Anolis sagrei: one gene and its partner. The protein of the gene in region 1 purifies or fractionates together with the protein of each later gene. This does not show direct contact. Links are inferred from orthologs where the notes say so. Each region holds a gene or a part of one and is shown on either strand. Other genes may lie near its edges.

Region 1 (12,732 bases):
ATGCATCTTTAGAAGGAGATTTAGTGGGCTTTTTATCTCTTTCAGTCTCTGATCTTCTAGATTTTCGCTCTTTAGATCTTGATCTTCTGTCTTTGGATTTGCTCCTTTGCTCTACTGGGGATTTAGATATTTTGCCACGATCTTTGCTTTTACTTTCAATAACAACTGGAGATTTTTTACGCTCTCTTGACTTAATCTTTTCTTCTGCTTTGCTCCTATCTTCTGGAGATTTCGACTTCCTATTTTTCTCTTGAGAACGTCTTCTAAGGGTTGGAGATTTTGACTTTCCTACTTGGTCTTGAGACTTGGTTCTTTTTGATGGACTTTTTGATTTTTTTCTCTCTTTTGATTTACTTCTAGCTGTTCTTTCCTTTATACCATCAGCTCCTAATTTGCTCTTCTTTTTATCAGATCTGTGTCGAGTCCGTTCTTTTGATCTGCTCTTACTCTGCTTCTTTGAACTAGATTTATTGTCCACAATCTCTAGTTTCGCCTTAATAGAAGATGCTTTAGTTGAAGATCTAGTCCCATTTCTCATTTTATCATTGATTTCTCCCTCTTCTTCAGAACCTGACTCATAACCCTGCAAAATCAATCCCATGCCAGATTGAACTTTTCCTTCCATTAGCTCATTTTCAAGTTCAGCTTTAAGTAATGCTCTTTGTTTTTCTAAATCTTCCAGGGGCGCTAAGAAATCAATTTTAGTTCTTTTTGCTGGCCCATCTTCCTTATCAGAAGCATCAGCAGCCTCCTTTCGTTTATGCTTCTTATGCTTGTGCCTATGTTTATGCTTTTTGTCCTTATCCTCTTCTGAAGAATGTTTGTGTTTCTTATGTTTGCCTCTATGTTTGTGCTTCTTTTTTTTATGTCGGTTGTGCTTTGTCTGAGGTTGGTCACCTTCTGAAATATCTCCATTTTCTTCATTTGCACTTCTCTCAGAAATATCAGCTTCGTCAATACTATCAACATATAAAAAAGAATATTTCAGGGTCAAATAAAATACTACAATTCAACAGGAAAATTCCATTATGCTATTCATTCAGGGATCTAAACACAACCAATATCTTTGAAACATTCACATTGTGGTCATAAATGGTACTGCACGATTGTGCTGTGCAGTATGGTTCTAATTACTGATATATAGCTGTGAAAAATGGGATATTGGCAATTAGTCTTAGACATCTTTCCATCAACAACTCCCATCCAGAAGATTATTTATAGTCCTTTTCTTTCATGCCAACTCTGCTTCTATTTACAGAGTCAGTTGTTTCAAGAAAATAGGACTCCTAAATACACATCCAGCCCTGCGAACAGACAAGCATCAGGCAACACTATGGAGCAGACATGGGAAACTTGGGCCCTCTGGGTGTTTTAGACTTCAACTCCGACAATTCCTAACAGCTGACTGTTAGTAATTGTGGGAGTTGAAGTCCAAAACACCTGCAGGGCCCAAGTTTGTTCATGCCTGATTTGAAGAGTGGGTGTTTTTATGTAAGGGGGGGGGGGTGAATACAAGGACAGGATTACATTTTAATATTGACTGGCATAGGTGGGGAACCAGTTCTGGTCTGCTTTAAAAAGCAAATGGTACCTGAAGGTAAAGACAATTTGGGAAAAGAACTATGCTCCAAAATGAAACTTCTTGTTATCAAAGTTATTACTTCTTATCTTACCCTTTGTGGGCAAGCTGAACAATTAGTTTACTACCTACACACTCTTTTTATAGTACCTAAGAAGAAGAATGTTTTACTCCTGAACTGTCACGAACTCCAAACATGTTTTCAAAGTACAAATCATTCAGAGGAATTTGAGAGTAGGGTAAGATGGGAGCATCAGAATATTTTAACTCTGATTATCTTTCAACCCTAACAATGTAAGATAATCTTGTGTAATCAAATATTTTTAATAAGTGTAATGAAGATATTAGTACTTATTTTAAGTCAACTGTGGGGGAGGGGGGAGGAGCAAGTAATGACATTCCTATCCCCTACTTGCACATGGTATTTTTCTATTGCCGTGTTTTCCAGACTGGTTTTCCGACTGTTTTGTTGGACTTCAGCTCCCAGGATGCCAAAGCAGCTGAGGTTTCTCGAGTTGAAGTCCAAAAAACTTGGAGGATTAGAATTTAGGAAATACTGCTGTACTGGCTGAGAACCATCTCTCTTTTGCCTGTCCTTAAGACAGAAATCAAATGCGCTAGTGGAGAAACACTGCGCACTTTCCCTCACTTGTATATTTGTTTTCTATAGTAACATGGAAACTTACATAAACAGCTGCTTTTAGGGAACTGGTTTTACAGCCACACAAACATCCATGAGCCAAAACTATTGTAATGTTTTTATAACTTCTTTTTGTACTTATGTGCAGTTACTGTGTAGTATATGCTTTTAACTGCATATATAGAAGCCGCTACACACTTTATTTTGTTAACATTTCAGCTCAATGGCACACTGCACACAGGATTAAGGTCAGTCCTTTGATTAGAAAATCTAGCTAATGACACTCATTTTAGTTCTGAAATCGCCAATACTGCTAATAAAACACAAATGTCATAAAAAGCATTTTTAGCAGTGCATGCCTATTCACAAAATCAATTACCACATTATAAAAATAAAACAGATTTTTAAACACTAGTAGTGCCCTGTCTGTAAATAGTACTAAGTGAATATAAAGAATTATTACATGCACTCTCAAGAGAAACCAAATTTCTAAATACCATGATACTTAAGATTGTACAAGTCAAGTATCTATTACCTGCTAATCCAAAATGCTCCAAAGCTGTCAATGCTACTGGTTGAGATGGTGACATTTTGCTTTCTGATGCTTCAATTTTTGTTTCATACACAAAATTATTAAATATTGTGTATAAGATCATCTTCATGATATTCATGTAATATGTACATAAATTATAAATGATTTTTTAGACCAGAAACTCATCCCATGATATCTCATGAATTATATGCAACTACACGCAGTCCCTAAATTGCAAACATCAGATTTACAAGCAACTCCTACTTAAGTACAGGGGTGAGGTAACAGGAAGCGAGAGAAATCTACCCCTTCCACACAGTTGTATAAAATCCACATTGAACTGGATTATATGGCAGCGTGGATTCAAATAACCTAGTTCCAAGCAGATAATGTGGAGTATCTGCCTTGATATTCTGGGTTATATGGCTGTGTGGAAAGGCCCATAGAGAAAAGGAGTCTCCACTGAAACTTTATCTCCAATTCTTGTTTCCACAACAAGCCTATTTTTTCAAAATCAGATTATTACAGGGACAGAAAGTGGGGTGAAATCTTCTGAACAGGGGCACGGATAGGAAAACAAACACCACAGGGTTGTTAACCCTTCGCTACGGTATCCAAAGCTTTTATATGGCTGGAGTTACACTTTAAAAGTGTACCTGTTCTAAATTACATACAAATTCAACCTAATAATAATTCAACCAAATTCAACCTACAGAATCTATCTTCTTCCTAACTTGGGGACTGCCTGCATTCCAAAGTCCACTCCACTTCCAAACTGAAAACACTTCTGGTCCAAAGTATTTCAAATAAATACCAAAAGCAAACCCTTTGTATCCAGGAGTATAGTTCTAGGACCATCTCCTCAGGGCGTCCTTCCACACAGCCCTATATCCAAGAATATAAAGGCAGAAAATCCCAAAATTATCTGAGTGTGGACACAGATAACCCAGTTCAAAGCAGATATTGTGGGATTTTCTGCCTTGATATTCTGGGATATAGGACTGTGTGGAAGGTTCCAGGGAGATAGGGCAGAATACAGATAGTTTTTGCCAGTAAGATTGCCAGTAAACTGGATTAATGTCGAGAAAGAATGCATGTCTAAAAAAAGTGTGTCACCAACATGAAAAGTTTGGAAAGCTCTGGTATACACAATAGCATTGTAAAATGGTATCTCTTATATCAAATGGCAAAAACAAAGTTTGTTTTGTTTCCCCTCCCCTGGAACATTTTCAAGCCATGAGTAGCTAAATCTGTGGATATGGCGGGCTGGCTGTACTCAAACTATACCAATACTTCCCATGGATACTATATCCATTTTCAACTCATGCAAGGAACAGGCATATTTGTTTGTGAAGCAAACTGCACAAACAAAATATAGCAGACTTTCAGGACCCTTCCAGACAGGCTCCATATCCCAGGATCTGACCCCTGGTTTTCTGCGTACCCCAGATTATCTGGTAGCGGGGACTCATATAATCCAGTTTAAAGCAGAAAACTGGGATCAGACCCTGGGATATATGACCTGTCTCGAAGAGCTTTCAGGCCCCTTCTATGGGCCCTATACATTGCCATATAAAATCCAGGTTATCTGCTTTGAAATTGATTATCTGGCTGTGTTGACTCAGATAATCCAATTCAAAGAAGATAATGTGGGTTTTCAACTTTGATAATCTGGATTATCTGACAGTGTAGAAAGGGCCTACACTGCCATATAAGATCCGGAATATTTGCTTTGAACTGGATTATATAACAGTATTAACTCACACAATCCAGTTCAAAGCAGATAATGTGGATTATCCGCTTTGATAATCTGAATTACATGGAAGCGTAGAAGTGGCCTTGCTTAACTGGTACCCATGGAGATTGGTACATGCCGCATAAAATTGCTTGAGAGTTAGGACCCTTCCAGACAAGCCCTATATCCCAGGATGCGATCCCGGGGGTTTTCTATTTATTCCATATTATCTGGTAGTGCAGACTCATATAATCCAGTTTAAAGAAGAAAACCTGGGATATAGGGCCTGCCTGGAAGGGCCCTATCTGTTAAAAATAGACCTAACTAATATTATACATGCCATAAGCTCTGCACCGACATAATAACATTGAAATAGAGGAAATAAAAGCAAATCGTGACAAATTTAACTAAAGGTAACACTTCTGCTGTTCTATTCTATTATAAAAACAGGTTTTTAAAAACTATTATTTCTTCTTTTTCTGCTAGTTGCCTGAGTTCTGGTTAATTGAGAGCCTACTGGACTGTAATTAGAATTTTAAAAACAATTCAGAGATGGTATGAGAAAATATCCCCACGCCTATAAATCTACAAACATGAAGGAAGACACTGCCTGTAGTTGCCAAACAAATTCCTCCCACGTAAATATGGGAGGGAAACTGTTACAGGTTTTATTATGTGGGGGGAGGGAGAAGTAGCGGGAAAAACTATCGTCTGAGGCCCCTTCCACACAGTTGTATAAAATCCACATTGAACCAGATTATATGGCAGTGTGGACTCCGATAACCCAGTTCAAAGCAGATATTGTGCGTGATCTGCTTCGATATTCTGGGTTATACGGCTGCGTGGAAGGGCCCTGAGGCCCGTCCTACTCTGAAGGCCAGGCTCAGGCACTACTAGGCCCAGCCAAGGCCGCCTCGCGACCACAATAACGGCTCTTCAGGCACGCGCTCCTTCCTTCCCTCCCTTTGTTCTTTCTACTCTTCCTCTCTCCCGCCTTGTCAAAGAGGGCCTAAAAGGACAACAGCGAGGCGTATTTTTTAAGAAGGAAAAACCTGGTCGGCCTTACCCAGAGCCCTGCAGTCCCAGCTCCACTACCGTCGCCGCGGCCATTTTGAACTTCCGAACGACTTCGCCGACGCCGCTGAAGAGAGTGGGGAGCGTGCGCATGCGCGCGAGAGGAACACAACGTCCGAGGAGACAGAACGAGGCACTTAGCGTCAGGGGTGCCGGAAATGAAAACAAAACCTCGCGAGAATAGAAAGGGAAGCCAATCGCAAGGGTAATGGGCAACTCCGGCGAGACTTCAGTGACTCAAATAAACTTCCGGTTCCCAGTCGAATATGAAGCGTCCAAGGCAGAATTACATTCGAGAAGATGAAATGCTTCTTCCCCGCATGTTGCATTGCTCAAATGCGAACCGGAAGTGAGGAATAGAAACAGCACTGCTTGGTTCCTTTGTTCTCTAGTTAAACGCAAGCGGAAAATGGAACATTCTGTTTTAGGGAACGTCTAAAAAGAGACACACGTTTCGAAGGGTCTAGCTCCCTGGCCCCTAGAGGCAGCAAAAACAAGAGGGATCTTGTGGCCTTATAACCCAGAATATCAAGGCAGGAACTCCCACAATATCTGCTTTGTACTGGGTTATTTGAATCCACTGGAGGAATCCCACTGGAGCATTGCAGCACACTCAAATACCTGGGAGTCACTCTGGACCGTGCTCGCTACAAGAAGCACTGCCTGAAAATCAAGCAAAAAGTGGGTGCTAGAAACAATATCATATGAAAGCTGACTGGCACAACCTGGGGATCACAACCAGACACAGTGAAGACATCTGCCCTTGCGCTATGCTACTCTGCTGCTGAGTACGCATGCCCAGTGTGGAACACATCTCACCACACTAAAACAGTGGATGTGGCTCTTAATGAGACATGCTGTATTATCACAGGGTGTCTGCGCCCCACACCACTGGAGAAATTACACTGCTTAGCCGGTATTGCACCACCTGACATCCGCCGGGAAGTAGCAGCCAATAGTGAAAGGACCAAGGCAGTGATATCTCCAGCTCAAGCCTTGTTTGGATATCAGCCAGCATGTCAACGACTTAAATCAAGAAATAGTTTTCTTAGATCTACAGAGACACTTGCTGGAACACCTTGGCAAGCGAGAGTCCAAAAGTGGCAGGCTCAAACCCAGCATCTCAATCCGTGGGTGATACCAGATGAGAGACTCCCCCATGGGCACACGGAGGACTGGGCGACTTGGAAGGTGCTGAAGAGACTGCTCTCTGGCACCACGAGATGCAGAGCCAACCTTAAGAAATGGGGCTACAAAGTTGAATCCACGACATGCGAGTGCAAAGAGCAAACCACTGACCACCTGCTGCAATGCAACCTGAGCCCTGCCACATGCACAATGGAGGATCTCCTTGCGGCAACACCAGAGGCACTCCAAGTGGCCAGATACTGGTCAAAGGACATTTAATCAACTACCAAGTTTGCAAAATCTGTGTTTTTTTAATCTGTTTGTTTGTTTGTTTTGTTCTATTAGAAATATAATATAATGGTATGGTTGCTGATGACACGATAAATAAATAAATCTGAATCCACATTGCCATAGATTCCAGTTCTAAGCAGAAAATGTGGGATATTTTTCAGCTGTGTGAAAGGAGCCTGAGGGGGCTTCCAAAGAGACCCTATGGCCTTTCCATACAGCCCTATATCCCAGAATACCAAGGCAGAAAATTCCACAATATCTGCTTTGAACTGGATTATATGAGTCCACACTCAAATAATGTGGGATTTTCTGCCTTGATATTCTGGGATATAGGGCTGTGTGGAAGGGCCCTATGTCCCAGGATCTGATCACAGGTTTTCTGCTTTAAACTGGATTATATGAATCCACACTGCGAGATAATTTGGGATAAACAGAAAAGATCCTGGGATATAGGGCCTGTCTGGGAGCGCCCTTTGGGCCTTTCCACACGGTCCTATAACCCAGAATATCAAGGCAGACAATCCACAATATCTGCTTTGAACTGGATTTTCTGAGCCCACACTGCCATATAATCCAGATCAATGTGGATTTCATACAGCTGTATGGAATGGACCTTAATAGATCTGCCAGTAAATCTTGCAAATGTTTGTGTGGAGTTCCCTGAAGCACAAAATTGTATCCGGGGTGACATATTATTATGCCAATGTTTGGAAGGGGAACAGTAATTAGGGAGTCATCCCTCCACATTCACAATCATTATTTTGGTTTTCTTTGGCCCCTTCCTTATTTAGTCCTGTAAACAGTGGGAATACCATCCTGCAATCCAGAACTGGAACTAGCGAATTTATCCCGTGCATTCCAAGAAGGCTCAGAATAAACCCACTATCTAATTAATTTGCTACAAACCAGGGTTTCCTGGTTTGTAGCAAATTTATTTGGGGCTGTCCAGAATATTGTTGCTGGCAGAAAAAAGGAAATGCAAAGATACAGAATGGGGGGTGCCTGGCTCCACAGCAGTACATATGAAAAAGATCTTGGAGTCCTCGTGGACAACAAGTTAAACATGATCCAACAATGTGATGCAGTGGCAAAAAAAGCCAATGGGATTTTGGCCTGCATCAATAGTAGATCCAGGGAAGTCATGCTACCCCTCTATTCTGTCTTGGTTAGACCACACCTGGAGTACTGTGTCGAATTCTAGGCACCACAATTGAAGGAGATATTGATAAGCTGGAATGTGTCCAGAGGAGGGCGACTGAAATGGGTTTGGAGAACAAGCCCTATGAGGAGCGGCTTAAAGAGCTGGGCATGTTTAGCCTGAAGAAGAGAAGACTGAGAGGAGACACGATAGCCATGTATAAATATGTGAGGAGAAGTCACCGGGAAGAGGAATCAAGCTTGTTTTCTTGTGCCCTGGAGACTAGGACTTGGAACAATGGCTTCAAACAACAAGAAAGGAGATTCCATCTGAACATTAGGAAGAACGTCCTGACTGTGAGAGCTGTGCAGCAGTGGAACTCTCTACCCTGGAGTGTGGTGGAGGCTTCTTCTTTGGAGGCTTTTAAACAGAGGCTGGATGGCCATCTGTCAGGGGTGCTTTGAATGCAATATTCCTGCTTCTTGGCAGGTCAGTTCCTCACCAAACTACAACTCCCAGGATCCCATAGTAATGAGTCTTGGTTGCTAAAGTGGTCCCAAACTGCATTAACAGTTCTAGTTCACTGTTCTCTATCTATCTATCTTCTATCTTCTATATATATAAAAATGCTCTGTGCATAATGAGTACCTTAAAAACAAAAGAACCAATGAACGAAATCACACCAAATTTGGCAACAGAATGTCTCATGACACAAGGAGTGACCATCACTCAAAAATTATGATTTTGTCATTTGGGAGTTGTAGTTGTTGGGATTTATAGTTCAGCTACAATTAAAGAGCATTCTGAACCCCACCAACGATGGAATTGAACCAAACTTGGCACACAGGACTCCCCTGACCAATGAAAAACACTAGGAGGGTTTGGTTGGTAGTGTCCTTTGGTTTTGGAGTTGTAGTTCACCTACTTCCAGAGAGCACTGTGGACTCAAACAATGATGGATCTGGACCAAACTCTACACGAATACTCAATATGCCCAAATGTGAACACTGGTGGAGTTTGGGGAAAATAGAATCTTGACATTTGGGAGTTGTAGTTGCTGGGATTTATAGTTCACGTACAATCAAGAAGCATTCTGAACCCCACCAACGACAGAATTGGGGCAAACTTCCCACACAGAACCCTCCTGACCAACAGAAAATACTGTGTTTTCTGGTGGTCTTTGGTGACCCTTCGGACACCCCCTCGCAGCCTCCCCCCCCAGGGGTCCCAAACCCCAGGTTTAGAAATGCTGCTTTAAGGCCATCCAGTCCAACACCCTTCACCAAAGCAAAAAAACATAAAGCCCTTCTGACAAAGAGCCATCCAGCCATAGATATAAATATATATGATTCACGTACACACACACACACACACACACACGCTTATGACAGATATAGTACCATAGATTTGAAAAGGACAATGATATATTGCATGTTCCAGAGCAGGCAGACCAGACAATCTCCACATCAACATTGACAAAGAGACAGAAAGAAATACTGTTTACCCACAAGCATCAAGATATTACATATATTAGAAACCAACACTTTCTCATTACTTTATTTTCCAGATCACCAGACTGGGCCACAGCAATGCGTGGCAGGTGACCGCTAGTTCAAAATAAAACCAATGAAGTCTTAAAAGTCATGGCTATAGGGGAAAAAACTCTGCTCCTTAATAAAAAAAAACTGGGTTCTTGTAGGTTTTTTCGGGCTATAGGGCCATGTTCTAGAGGCATTTCTCCTCTAGAACAAAAAAAACTGCCTGAAATCCTTCTTTAGGCTCCTTCCACACAGCTGTATAAAATTCCACATTGTCTGCTTTGAACTGGGTTATATGGCAGTGTGGACTTAGATAACCCAGTTCAAAGCAGATAGTGTGGATTACCTGCCTTGATATATTCTGAGTCATATGTATATGTTGAAGGGCCCCTAGAAGAATTTGCACATGCTCCCTTTGTGTCTCGGTGGGCGGGATCAATGCCATGTTTCCCTGGGATGTTGCAGCTGGCAAATGGGATTGGAGGAACGGAAGTGGAGAGCGACCAATGGGAGCCCTCCTAGACCTTCGCCCCTGCGAAGCAGAATGGAACATTCCACCCCTCCCCCCGAGGCCAAGATTTGCAGAGGTCCTGCATCGCTCTCCTCTGCACCGCGCTCATTCAGAGGCGGAGGATCTGAGATCGTTGGGTTAATATATTATTTTCCGCAGATCTCTTCGCCAAGGATAACTGAGGTATGTTTGTGTCTGTTCTTTCCTGGTTGCCCTTGAGATAGGAAGGAGGAAGCAATGGCTGGGTTATTTCTCTTGGCTGGCCTTTGGGTAATAAAAGGCAAGCAGGGCCTGAACCATGCAATCTCATGTTGGGCTAAGCCTCTTACTCTTTACTTAAGATTTTTAAGCTCTGCTTGTTCCTCCACTAAAGGGGAAACTACATGTTTATCATGCTTGATGAATGCAAGGCTGGGGTAAAAATTGCTGGAAGAATAATTAACAACCTTAGATATGCAGATGATACCACCTTGATAGCCGAAAGCGAGGAGGAGCTGAGGAGTCTTCTATTTAAGGTGAAAGAAGAAAGCGCAAAAGCTGGGTTGCAGTTCAACATAAAAAAACCCCAAGATCATGGCAACAAGAATGATTGACAACTGGGAAATAGAGGGAGAAAACGCGGAGGCAGTGACAGATGTTGTATTTCTAGGTGCAAAGATTACTGCAGACTACGCCAGGACATATGGTACACACACACACAAACACACACACACTATTCCTAAAGGTAAAGGTAAAGGTAAAGTCTACTCGTGTCCGACTCTGCGGGTTGGTGCTCATCTCTATTTCTAAGCCGAAGAGCTGGCATTGTCCATAGACACCTATGAAGTCATGGCCAGCATGACTTCATAGAGTGCTGCAGCCAGGAAATCAGAAGACACTTACTTCTTGGGAGGAGAGCAATGACCAATCTCGATAAAATAGTAAAGAGTAGGGACATTTATTTATTTATAGTATTTATATACCACTTTTCTCCCCCTAGGGGGACTCAAAGCGGTTTACACATAGATAATGGCAAAATTCAATGCCTTACAACTACAATAGTAAAACCACACATTAGATATAAATCATATTAAAAGCAATACATCATCAAGCATCAAAACCATAAAACAATCTCATCAGTCGAGTCGCCGTTCCAGTCCTTGTCCCTTTAAAAAGCTGCATACATCTATTGTCCAGAGGCCTGGTCCTCGAACCATGATTTTAATTTTTTCCCTAAAGGTCAGGAGAGAGGGAGCAGATCTTACTTCCTTTGGGAGTGTGTTCCATAGGCGGGGGGGGGGGGGCACAGCCGAGAAGGCCCTGCTCCTTATCCCCACCAGCTGCATTTGCGCTGTTGACGGGAGCGAGAGCAGGGCCTCCCCGGATGATCTTAAGTTGCGAGGTGGCAGATGAGTTAGAACAAGTAAGCTGGGCCAGAACTGTATAGAGATTTATAGGTCAAAACCAGGACTTTGAATTGGTCTCGGAGATGGACTGGCAGCCAGTGGAGCTGGCATAGCAGGGGGGTGGTGTGCTCCCTATATGCTGTCTCGGTTAGTAATCTGGCTGCCGCCTGTTGAACTAACTGACATCACACTGGCAACGAAGATCCGCATAGTCAAAGCAATGGTATTCCCCATAGTCCCCTATGGGTGTGAGAGCGGGACCATAGGGAAGGAAGATAGCGAAGGAAGATAGATGCTTTTGAACTGTGCTGTTGGAGGAAAGTTCTGAGCATGCCTTGGACCACCAGAAGATCCAACCAGTCCATACTTCAGGAAATAAAGCCCGGCTGCTCATTGGAGGGAAGGATATTAGAGGAAAAGATGAAGTACTTTGGGCACATCATGAGAGGACAGGAAAGCTTAGAGAAGACAACTATGCTGGAGAAAATGGAAGGAAAAAGGAAGAGGAGCCAACCAAGGGCAAGATGGATGGATGGTATCCTTGAAGTGACTGGATTGACCTTGAAGGAGCTGAGGGTGGTGACAGCCGACAGGGAGCTCTGGCGTGGGCTGGTCCACGAGGTTACAAGAGCCGGAAGCGACTGAATGAATGTACAACAACAAGCATTGAATTTTGCTCTGTTTACTGCCTTGAGTCGCCTACGGGCTGAGAAAGGCGGTATACAAATACAGTAAATAAATAAATGTTCCAGAAGCATTCTCTCCTGACATTTCACCCACATCTACGGCAGGCATCCTCAGAGGTTGTGGGTTCTGTTGGAAACTAGGCAAGGAGGTTTATATATCTGTGTAGTGTGCATGGTGGGAGAATAACTCTTGTCTGTTTGAGGCAGGTGTGAATGTTGCAATTGCCCCCCTTGATTAGCATTTAATGGCCTGCAGTTTCAAGGCCTTGCTGGTTGCTGCCTGGGGAAATGTATGATTATTATATTATTTACTTATTTATTAATTTATTATTTGAACTGTGGTGTTGGAAGAAAGTTCTGAGAGTGCCTTGGACAGCGAGAAGATCCAACCAGTCCATACTGCTGGAAATAAAGCCCGACTGCTCATTGGAGGGAAGGATAGTAGAGGCCAAGATGAAGTACTTTGGCCACATAATGAGAAGAAAGGAAAGCTTG
Region 2 (12,515 bases), on another chromosome or scaffold:
TGTCAGAATTAGGTTAACCCTGAGCGAAGGCCAGGTAAATGACCTTGGAGGGCCGTATCCGGCCCCCAGGCCATAGTTTGAGGACCTCTGTCTTACAGTTTTGTCCATGACAATGGATTTCAAAGAATGATCCCCCCTCACGCTGAGCCACAAAGGACACAGTGCACAAGACAGCAACCTAGTGCCCCATGTAAGCAGTAAACCCAGCAACTTGTGTAGAAACACAAGAAAAAACATAACATCTCAAGTATTCATCCAAATCCATGCTTCTGACCTTGTGAAATTAAACATGAGTGATATCTACAGTTTACCAGGTGAGTCAGTCCCAGCCATTATGCACACAGCGACAATTTTGCCTATTTAGCAGAGCACTTGATGAACCAACCTGGACACAGAATTTTATTTGAGAACACAGAAATGCTGGACCACTCTCACATCTACCATATCAGACATCACAGAGAAGCCATCGAAATCCACAAGCATGTGGACAATTTTAACAGAAAGGAGGAAACTATGAAAATGAACACAAACTGGCTGTAAGTATTAAAAAACTCTAAAATCAGGACAGTAAATGAAGAACACTCAGAAAACAGGGAAATTACACACACATAATAATGAAGGCCAGCTAATCACCTCCCAACAAAGGATTCCTCCAGGCAGAAAGCAGCCAAGCCTTGAAGTTGCAAGGTTATTAACTGCTAATCAAGGTTCAGCATTCACACTTGCCTCAAACAGACAAGAGTTCTTTCTCCCACGCTGGACATTATTTCACAGATATATAAACCCTCCTTGCCTTCTTTCCAACAAACCCCACAACCTCTGAGGATGCCTGCCATAGATGTGGGTGAAACATCAGGAGAAAATGCTTCTGGAACATGGCCAGACAGCCTGGAAAACTCAAAGCAACCTAATTTAGCTTATTCTTTCCTTAAATCACCTGCTTCAGTGGCATAATATCCCATTCTCTAACTCTCTGTAAAGTGAATGTCACATAAAGCCAATACATGCACAAAATTCAGAGACTTACTCAGACTGAAGAACACATAAAATCATGGCACACTTGGGTTTCTAATCCCAGACTTGGGGCACACTACAAAGTATATTTTTAGGAGAGGCAAGCATATCACAAGGGTTTTTTTTTGTTAAGATTAGTTTAGATGGGGTTTTATCTTTGTCTTCCTCTGAGGCTGAGAGGGTGTGACATGCCCAAGTGGGATTTGAACCCTGGTCTGCAAAGTTAATACTCAAGCCACTGCACCATGCTGGTCCCTAAAACATCTCTCCATACTGCTCAGTAATCTTCTGTATATATTGCTCCTTTCTCCTGAAGGAAATATTTATGGTCTGTACTACTAGACCACCAAAACAAACATTCTGCAAATGATGGAGACTGACAAAATGATATGTAGTGATCAGCTATCATTGTTTGGAATGATAGGAACCCCTGGAGGCGCAATGGGTTAAACCTTTGTGCCGGCAGCACTGCTAACCGAAAGGTTGGCAGTTTGAATCCGGGAAGCGGGGTGAGCTCCCATCTGTCAGCTCCAGCTTCTCATGCGGGGACATGAGAAAAGCCTCCAACAGGATGGTAAAACATCCAGGCATCCCCTAGGCAGCGTCCTTCCAGACGGCCAATTCTCTCACACCAGAAGCGACTTGCAGTTTCTCAAGTCACTCCTGACACGAAAAAAAAATGTATGGAATATACTGGTAGGCAACCAACAAGCTTTAAAAAGTTTAACTTTCAAATGCTGTGACGACACAATATAAACATGTCCAAACATAGGCATTAGGACAGATTCAGGACACAGGCATTAGAATAGATTTAGTCAGAATGATCCTGAATAAGACAGGATTAATCCTTCCAGCATTTTTAGACTATCAAATTTCCCCAAAGTGTCAACTGAACTAACGTTTCAGGATTTGAAAATGCTTCTAACCGCTTTCTGTTAAACATTGGCTCTAGGTAATAAAGGATAGCGTGGGTAAGCTGCCCACAAATTAGACATTCAGATACTACTACTGCAGAGGTCAAAGTAGACATCAAACACATCCATGATCAAAAAAAGGCCTGCAGTACCAGTTGTTTTCTAATTACAATCTTAAGTTATTAAGCCAAATCAGATATTAACTTCATCTCAACACAACTTGCTTACAATGTGAAAGCATAATATATGAAGTCTCTAAAGATGAGTTAAAAACATGGTTCCCACTGATAGTTGAAAGAAAAACACAATTTGGGAGGACATCAACAAATGAACAATGAAACTGCTAGTCTGAATCATGCTTCTCACATTACCACAGAGTTCCCTACAAGTGTCACCTCCCAGGAACATGAAGGGGGCTCTAGATTCAGTACTAACCTCTGGTCGAAAGGATCATGTGAAGCTGAGAAGAGATGTCTCTGCTAGAGGCTATGAACAACACTCAGGGCAATGGTACGATTCAGTACAAGGCATCTTTTCATAGCGTGTGGCTATCAATGAATGGCATAGCACACACAAAAGGATCTAGATTAATACAAGGAGCCATGCTGGACCAGGCCTAAAACCTACCTAGTCCATTGTGACTCAATCGAAGTCTAATGTTTACATTAAGGAAAATCATAGTCCCCTTCTCTTCTGCTTTGGTCAGACCTCACCTGGAACAACCCTATACCTGAATATCACAACTCAAGAAGGATATGGATGAGTTGGAATATATCCAGAGAAAGACGGTCAAAACTGCCAAACTGGTTTAGGGTGCTGGGGATGCTTAGCTTGGAGAAAAGAAGGCTGTGAGGAGAAATGATAGCCATGTTTAAATATCTAAAAGGATGCAACATTCAGGAGAGAGCAAGCTTGTCTTCTGCAGCTGTAGGAACCAGGACACAATGGAGGAATAGATTCCAAAAGCAGGAACAGAGATATTGTACTACCTAATCATTAGGAAGAACATCCTGACGATAAGAGATGTTCAACTATGGAATATGGAACTGGATTTCTTTTTGCTTTTCTCTGGAGATTTTTCAAGCAGAGTCCATCTGTTAGGATTGTGTCTTTCCTGCTTGGCAGAATGGGGTTGGATTGGATGGCATTTCAGGGTACCTGGTTACCAGGGGAATATAAACTGCCTCGGAGTGTGAGGAAATCTCCTTATCTGGAGGTTTTTAAGCAGAGGCTGGGTGGTCCTTGGGGTCCCTTCCAGCTCTAGGATCCTATGATAGATAGAGCTCTAAACACACATACATCCAGGTGTTGGACTGGATGGCCCTTGGGGTTCCTTACAGCTCTATGATCCTATGATAAATAGAAAGACAGATACATCAATAGATCTCTATACACACATACATAACGAGGTAATTGTTCTATGATTGATTGATTCACTGACAGATCTTTATACACACAGACATCAGGGGTTGGACCAGGGATCCCCTTGCAGCTTTAGAATCCTATGATAGATAGATAAAATGAACTCTAAATACACATTCAGGGGCTGCATTGGATGACCCTTGGGATCCCTTCCAACTCAATGATTCTATGATTGATATAAAGATATCTAAAAACACATACATTCAGGGGTTGGACTGGATGGCCCTTGGGGTCCCTTAGAGCTTTAGGATCGTATGATAAATAGATAGGCCTCTATACACACATACAGAGATTGCACTGGGGGCACTTGGGGTCCCTTCCAGCTCTAGAATCCTATGATAGATAAAAAGAACAAACCCTAAAATTCATCCAGGGGTTTGACTGGGCAGCCCTAGGGGTCCCTTCCAGCTCTAGTATCCTATGATAGACAGAAAGATAGATTCATAGATAAATCTCTATACACACATACATCCAGGGATTGGACAGGATAGCCCTTGGGGTCCCTTCCAGCTCTAGGATCCTATGATAGATAGATAGATAGAGCTCTAAGCACACATACATCCAGGGGTTGGACTGGATGGCCCTTGGGGTTCCTTAAAGCTCTAGGATCCTGATAAATAGAGAGATAGATACATCAATAGATCTCTATACACAAATACATACAGGGGTAACAATTCTATGGTTGATTGATTGATAGATCTCTATACACACAGACATCAGGGGTTAGACCAGGTAGTCCTTGGGGTCCCTTCCAGCTCTAGGATCCTATGATAGATAGATAGATTCATAGATAGATCTCTATACACACATATATACAGGGGTAACGATTCTATGGTTGACTGATTGATTGATCTCGATACACACATACATCCAGGGGTTGGACTGGATGGCTCTTTCAGCTCTAGAATCTTATGATGGATAGAAAGATAAGACACATAGACAGATCGCTAGACACATAAATACAGGGGTTGGACTGGGTAGCACTTATAGCTTTAGAATCCCATGATTGATTGACTGACTGATAGATAGATAAAAAGAACTCTAAACACACACCCAAGGTCTGGACTGGATGGCCCTTGAGGCCGCTTACAGCTCTAGAATCTTATGATAGATAGATAGACAGATCTCTAGACACATACATACCAAGGTTGGACTGGGTAGCACTTGGGGGTCCCTTACAGCTTTAGAATCCCATGATTGATTGACTGACTGATAGATAGATAAAAAGAACTCTAAACACACATCCAGGATCTGGCCTGGATGGCCCTTGAGGCCGCTTACAGCTCTAGAATCTTATGATAGATAGATAGACAGATCTCTAGACACATACATACCAAGGTTGGACTGGGTAGCACTTGGGGGTCCCTTACAGCTTTAGAATCCCATGATTGATTGACTGACTGATAGATAGATAAAAAGAACTCTAAACACACATCCAGGATCTGGCCTGGATGGCCCTTGAGGCCGCTTACAGCTCTAGAATCTTATGATAGATAGATAGACAGATCTCTAGACACATACATACCAAGGTTGGACTGGGTAGCACTTGGGGGTCCCTTACAGCTTTAGAATCCCATGATTGATTGACTGATAGATAAAAAGAACTCTAAACACACATCCAGGATCTGGCCTGGATGACCCTTGGGGCCCCTTTCAGCTCTAGAATCTTATGACAGATAGAAAGATAGAGACATAGACAGATCTCTAGACACATACATACTGGGGTTGGACTGGGTAACACTTGGGGGTCCCTTACAGCTTTAGAATCCCATGACTGATTGACTGACTGAAAAAGAGAACTCTAAACACACATCCAGGGTCTGGACTGGACGGCCCTTGGGGCCCCTTTCAGCTCTAAGATCCTATGATAGATAGAAAGATAGAGACATAGACAGATCTCTAGACACATACATTGATTGACTGACTGACTGAAAAAGAGAACTCTAAACACACATCCAGGGTCTGGACTGGGTAGCACTTGGGGGTCCCTTACAGCTTTAGAATCCCATGACTGATTGACTGATAGATAGGTAGGTAGATAAAAAGAACTCTAAACACACATCCAGGGGCTGGGCTGGATGGCCCTTGGGGCCCCTTCCAGCTCTAGGAGCCTATGATAGATAGAAAGATAGATAGATCTCTATACATTAAGCATGGGCAAACTTCGGCCTGGTGTTTTGGACTCCAACTCCCTTACATTGTGGGAGTTGGGAGTCCAAAACACCTTGAGGGCCAAAGTTTGTTCATGCCCTGCTATACACATACACATCCCGGGGTTGAATTGGGTGTCCCTTCCAGCTCGAGGATCCTATGATAGAGAGATAAACAGATAGACAGACAGAGCACTAACATACGGCTCCAAAGGCCCGGCAGAATTCGTTCCCGAGAGAGAGAGAGAGATATCTCTGTGCGGGCTGAGTAGGCCTCAGGCCTCGCGCTCCTCACCTGGCCCGGCGGGGAGGGGTCGGGGAGCGGCAGCCGCCAAAGGCAGGCAGGCGGGTGGGCGGGCGGGAAGGGGCAGGCGGGGAGAAGCCGTTCCCTGAAGCGGCGCGGCAATGGCCTCCCTACTGGCGGCGAAGCAGGGCGGCCATGGCGCAACGTCATCCGGGCGCGACGGCAACGGCGAGCGCGAGGCGGCTCTAGGAAAAAAGGAGGCGGAAAAGTGGGCGTGGTCCTCGATGCGCGTGCGCAGTAGAGGACAGCCGGGAGGCGGAGCGACGGGAGGCGTCGTTAGCCAATAAGAAAGCTGAATTCTAAATAGAGCTGAGGGAGGAAAAAAAAAAAGATTGAGACTACCAAATTGCGCCTGCGCAGAAAAAAGGGCGGGGAATCAAAGTGGAGTCGTGATAAGGCAGGCCCGGTAGCCAATCGGAGCCAAGGAAAGGGAGGTGGGCGGAGCAATGGAGGAAAGTGGGTAGGCAATAAGGGAGGAAAGAAGGGACTGAGTTGATGCGAAGTGCGCGTGAGCAAAAAGGCAAGCGGGGAAAGGGCCCGGATAGCCAATCAGAGCCGGGGAAAGAGAGAGAGGCGGGGCGACGGGGGAAAGTGGGTAGCCAATGAGGGAGCTGCATTCTCAATGGAGAAGTAAAAGGAGGAGTAGCATCAATAATAATAATAATAATAATAATAATAATAATACTTTTTGTATCTTAAAGAATTAAAATGCAATAAAAACACAAACTGTGAATAATATTTTTATTTCTTAATTAAAATGCAACAAAACAAACATGAATATTAGCACCTTTTATATATATATATATATAATAATACTTTTTGTTTTTTAAGTAAAATGCAATAAAAATACAAACTGAATAATAATAATTTTATATCTTAATTAAAATGCAATAAAACAAACATGAATATTAGCACTATTATAGATATATATAATACTTTTTGTTTCTTAAGTAAAATGCAATAAAAACAAACTGAATAATAATATTTTTTTAATTTTCTTAATTAAAATGCAATAAAACAAACATGAATATCAGCACCTTTATTATATATATAATAATAATACTTTTTGTTTCTTAAAGAATTAAAATGCAATAAAAACACAAACTGAATAATATTTTTATTAATTAAAATGCAACAAGACAAACATGAATATTAGCACTTTTTATTATATATATAATAATACATTTTGTTTCTTAAGTAAAATGCAATAAAAACACAAATTGTGAATAATAATATGTTTTATTTCTTAATTAAAATACAATAAAACAAACATGAATATTAGCACCTTTATTATATATATATATATATATTAATAATACTTTTTGTTTCTTAAACAATTAAAATGCAATAAAAACACAAACTGTGAATAATATTTGTATTAATTAAAATGCAATAAAACAAACATGAATATTAGCACCTTTATTTCTTAAAAAGTAATACAACAAAAAGTATAAATAATCATACCTTTTGTTTCTTAACAGTTGAAATTCAATCAAACACAAACTATGAATAATAATAAATTTATTTCTTAAGAATTTAAATGCAATGCAAACATAAAAAGTAGTGATAGCTTTTATTTCGTGAGAATTAAAATGCAATACATTTTTAAAGTACAAGGTTTATCTGGAAAACAAGATTACAAGGCACGTAGCTCTCGCAGGGAATTTTCTCGGGAAGTTGGCATCACTTCCATGTAGCTAATGAGCAGTGCCAGTTGTCAGCAGCTCATCGACTGGCGTTTTGGTGAAGGTTAGAGATGTGCACCCTCATTCTGTTTCCCTCCAAGTGCAAAGTTCGCACTGTAATATGCTACCTAAATGCTAAGGGCAAGAACGCCACTGTGATTCATGGTGAAATCATTTCAGTTTATGGAGAGGACATAATGTCAAGATAGCAAGTGACAAAATGGGTATGGTGTTGTAGTTCAGCCTGTGATTGTGTCTGATGGTCATGACAGAAATGGAAATGAAGGGCTTTCTGGGCCTGGGTCTGTCAGCAATGGGGATGAGGGTTTGCTTGGGCTTGAGTTAACCCCAGACGAGAGGCCCAAGATGTCCCATGAAGATTCACAAGGTCACATTCCTGGGAGAGGCCTTCAGCAATCTTTCTCAGAGGGCCCATCCAGACAAGACCTTTATTGCAGGAACTCCTGCAATAAAGGAAGGGCTGTCCAGACAATGTTCTGGACAGTCCCACATTATTTATTTATTTCTCAGCCCTTCTGATTGGCCCAGACGCACCGCAGCAGCCCTGTGATTGTCCCACGCGCTCAGAGGGCAGCTGAGCCTCCTCCCAGCTGTTGTGGCATCAGCCAAGTGGAGGGCGGGGAGTGGGAGATTTGAACCACACAACTCTGCATTTCTATAAAAGTGGCATTTATTTGTGTAACCACATGATTAGCTTGGCGAATGATTGCAGCTCTGCATCCTTTTCAGCCGAATCGCTAAATATTGAGTATTTGTGCCAAGTTTGGTCATTGTTTAAGTCCACAGTGCTCTCTGGATATAGTTGAACTACAACTCCAACACTCAAGGTCAATGCCCACCAAACCCTTCCAGTAGTTTCTGTTGCTCATGGGAGAACTGTGTGCCAAGTTTGGTTCAATTCCATCATTGGTGGAGTTCAGAATGCTCTTTGATTGCAGGTGAACTATAAATCCCAGCAATTACAACTCCCAAATGACAAAATCAATTTTTTTAGAGAAGGACATACATTGGGTTGCTAGATGTCTTGTGTCCAAATTTGGTGTCAATTCGTCCAGTGGTTTTTGAGTTCTCTTAATCTCACAAACGAACACTACATTTTTATTTATATAGATTTAAATACAACAAAAACAAACAGTAGTATTACCAATATTAATAATACATTTGATTTCTTAATTTGATTTCTTAGAAATGAAAATGCAATAGAAACACAGAAACTTAATTCAATAGCAATGATCCATGACAGTTCGGCGTCAAACTGCATTAATTCTGCAGTGTGGATGTACCCATGAAGGTTTGGAAAGTTCATTAGGGAGTTGGCTTTCCAAGATATCTAATGATATCTATGCAAGGATGGCAAAATCCAGATAAAATCAGAAATGTGGTCCATTTCGGATAAAGGATGCTCAACCGTACAGGGTGGCTTTTGTGTTTGCAAACGCAAGAGGGAGCTCAGACCCAACAAATAATACAAAGTAAGCTGAATAAATGGTTTGCTTCCAACTTCAAGGAGCCAAATCATCAAACAGAATGAAACTCTGGCACAAATCAAAGCTGGCTTGCTAGGCGTGAGCTCCAACTGGGCCCCTTCTCTCCAAAATGAGCATTTTAATAAGCCCTTTATGATAATCCTAGAGAAGAAGAAGAAGGCCAAACGTCAAGGGATTTTAAACATGAAATGATAGCAGAAAGGTTGGAAAGTATTATCATTGCAATATATACCAATTGCTATGTAGAATTAATGCAGTTTGGCATCACCTTAACTGCCCTGGCTCAATGCTATGGAATCCTGGGAGTTACAGTTTGTATTTATTTATTTATTTATTTATTTATTTTATATACCGCTTTTCTCAGCCCTCAGGTGACTCAAAGCGGTGAACAACATCAATACAAAACATCACGAGACAAGCATAGGGCAATTAAGAACAATTGTAACATAAATCATTTAACATCCGTATAACAATAATTAGTGCCTCAACAGTAAAATCAGAATCCAGTCTCATCATCCATTATTCCGTATTCCTATGTTCAATTACACTGTTTAATCAAATGCTTATTCGAACAGCCAGGTCTTCACTTTCCTCCAAAACGCCAGCAGGGAGGGAGCCGATCTGATATCTGCAGGCAGGGCGTTCCACAGCCGAGGGGCCACCACTGAGAAGGCCCTGTCTCTCGTCCCCGCCAAGCGTGCCTGTGATGCAGGCGGGACCGAGAGCAGGGCCTCCCCAGATGATCTTAGTACCCTTGGACCTTGCAAAACTACAACTCCCAGGATCGCATAGCATTGAGCCAAGGCAGATAAAGTAATGCTGAACTGCATTCATTCAACAATGTAGATACGCCCTTGGTAAAGCATCTCCATAGTATTGTTATTGGTATTTATATCTCACTTTTTCTCTCTCAAGCAAAGCTCAAGGCAGCTAACATGGTGCGTTCTGCACTGGAGAATTAATGCAGTTTGGCATCACTTTAACTGCCCTGGCTCAATGCTATGCAATTCTGGGAGTTGTAGTATCCCAAGGTCTTTATCCTTCTCTGCTGGTGCCACACCGAACTTCAACTCCCAGGACTCCATAGCAGTTGAACTGCATTCATTCTGCAGTGTAGATGCATCCCATAAGAAATCTCCGGAGATGGCCATTTTGGTGATTGCTCCCAAAATTGATCCAGTGATGAATATCTTTTTTAATTAGATTGCACCACCTGACATCCGCCGGGAAGTAGCAGCCAATAGTAAAAGGACCAAGGCAGTGACATCTCCAGCTCATCCCCTGTTTGGGTATCAGCCAACACGTCAATGACTTAAATCAATAGTTGTGTAAGATCTACAGAGACACTCGCTGGACACACCTCAGCAAGCGAGAGTCCAAAAGTGGCAGGCTCAAACCCAGAACCTCAATCAATGGCTGATACTAAATGAGAGACTCCCCCCTGGGCACACAGAAGACTAGGTGACTTGGAAGGCACTGAACAGACTGCACTCTGGCACCACGAGATGCAGAGCCAACCTCAAGAAATGGGGCCACAAAGTGGAATCCACGATATGCGAGTGTGGAGAAGAGCAAACTACTGACCACCTGCTGCAATGCAACCTGAGCCCTGCCACATGCACAATGGAGGACCTTCTTATAGTAACACCAGAGGCACTCCAAGTGGCCAGCTACTGGTCAAAGGACATTTAATCAACTACCAATCTTGCAAACTTTGTGTTTTGTTTGTTTGTTTGTTTAAAAATGCAATACAACTGTTTGGCTTGCTCCTGACATGATAAATAAAATCCCATAAGAAATCTCCGGAGAAGGCCATTTTGGTGGTTGCTTCCAAAACTGATCCAGTGATGAATATCTTCTTTTAATTAGATAGATGTCCAGACATTAATCGGTTGCTATGCAGGTGCCTTTTGCCTAGCAACACTTTTAGCCCTCTCTTCGTTATATTTTCAATCCAGTGCTGTTTTGAATAGGGCTGAGGTTTCCACTAGGCCTGGGCAACAACGCAAAAATTTGTTTCTAAAATCGATTTGTATTTGGGGGGTTTTTGCGTTTCGATATTTAAAATAATTACAAAATTTTCCTTTGAAAAAGTTCAGTATTTACGAAATTTCGTTAATTTCGTTTTTAGAATATTTTTTGAATTTTTTTGAAATATTTATTTATAAATATTTTTTGAAATATTTAAAAATGGAAAATTAACAATGCTTGCCCTGTTGTGGAGCGAACACAGCCACAGGACAGGGACAAACTCACACACACAGGCACACAAGGGTCTTTTCTTTTTTTAGAATATTTTTTGAATTTTTTGAAGCATAAAAGAAAAATATTTTTCAGAAATATTTAAAAATGGAAAATTAACAATGCTTGCCCTGTTGTGGAGCGAACACAGCCACAGGACGGGGACAAACTCACACACACAGGCACACAAGGGTCTTTTCTTTTTTTAGAATATTTTTTGAATTTTTTTAAGAATAAAAGAAAGATATTTTTCAGAAATATTTAAAAATGCTTGCCCTGTTGTGGAGCGAACGGCAAAGCCTCCCCGCTGCTCCCAGCCCAGGGAATGAATGAATGCAAGCAATGAATGAATGCAAGCCAAGCCTCCCTCCCGAACCTCCCGTCTCCTCGCCTTCCCCAGCAATGAGCAATGCGGCCACGCGGAGCCGCTTTTAAAGAGCAGCCCGCCCAATCACAATCAGCCACAGTGCTTGGGAGTGCAGGATTGGCTCCCAGCGCACCCAGCATCCTCCATCCCTAAAACGTCATTTCCGAAACGGGCGGAAGCCCATAAAAAAGATGGAGGATGCCGTTTCGATATTTAAAAACACTTCCGGGTTTGAAAATATGTTTTGTAATCGTTTTGTAATTGCTAAAAATAACGAATATTTAACGAATTACAAAATTAACGAACGAAACCACCCAGGCCTAGTTTCCACCCTTTTGCGTGTTTAAAATCGTTTTAGCTCACAGTTATAATCTTGGTGTGTATTATTGTTATTTTTTACTTCTTTTTCTCTGAAAGACACTCGATGTGGTGAACTGTGGCAAAAACAATACAATATGCCATTATAGCCTAAAGGCTATAATAAACAGTGAAATAGAATGTGGAACTGTCTAAAAACGAGTAAGTAAAACCAATTTAAAATACATTGGAAGTATTTTATAAAATACATATATTCATATACACATATTATACACACAAACACACATATTCATGGCCTTATATTCTATTTATGTATTATAAGTTGGTTAAGCAAATAAATATAAATATATTATTTGCTTTAAGTGAATAAATATAAACATATTTATGTGTGTGCGCGCATGTGTATTGTAATGGTCTTATGTTTTACCTCTGTATTATAAGTGTTGTACCCTGCCTCAAGCAAATAAATAATAAATAGCATATTATTATTATTATTATTATTATTATTATTATTATTATTATTATTATTATTATTTCTATCCCATCTTTCTCTCCATAGGGACCTAAGGCAGCTAACAATCTCAACACAACA

What was found.
Region 2: the proteins of PRP4K (region 1) and ZC3H18 purify together in Homo sapiens (co-immunoprecipitation; 4 studies listed by BioGRID and IntAct, counting the BioPlex papers as one, with this or other methods). This does not show direct contact. The link is inferred for Anolis sagrei from reciprocal best matches to the Homo sapiens genes PRP4K and ZC3H18.

Annotation. Positions count from the first base shown.
Region 1 is NC_090024.1:86,946,138-86,958,869, forward strand, and holds the start of PRP4K (serine/threonine-protein kinase PRP4 homolog), read right to left. Parts: upstream 5,679-12,732; 5' UTR 5,654-5,678; coding exon 5,553-5,653; intron 960-5,552; coding exon 1-959. UniProt on the Homo sapiens protein: Serine/threonine kinase involved in spliceosomal assembly as well as mitosis and signaling regulation. Connects chromatin mediated regulation of transcription and pre-mRNA splicing.
Region 2 is NC_090028.1:26,525,738-26,538,252, reverse strand, and holds the start of ZC3H18 (zinc finger CCCH domain-containing protein 18), read right to left. Parts: upstream 6,003-12,515; 5' UTR 5,796-6,002; intron 4,034-5,795; exon of another isoform or gene 4,014-4,033; intron 1-4,013.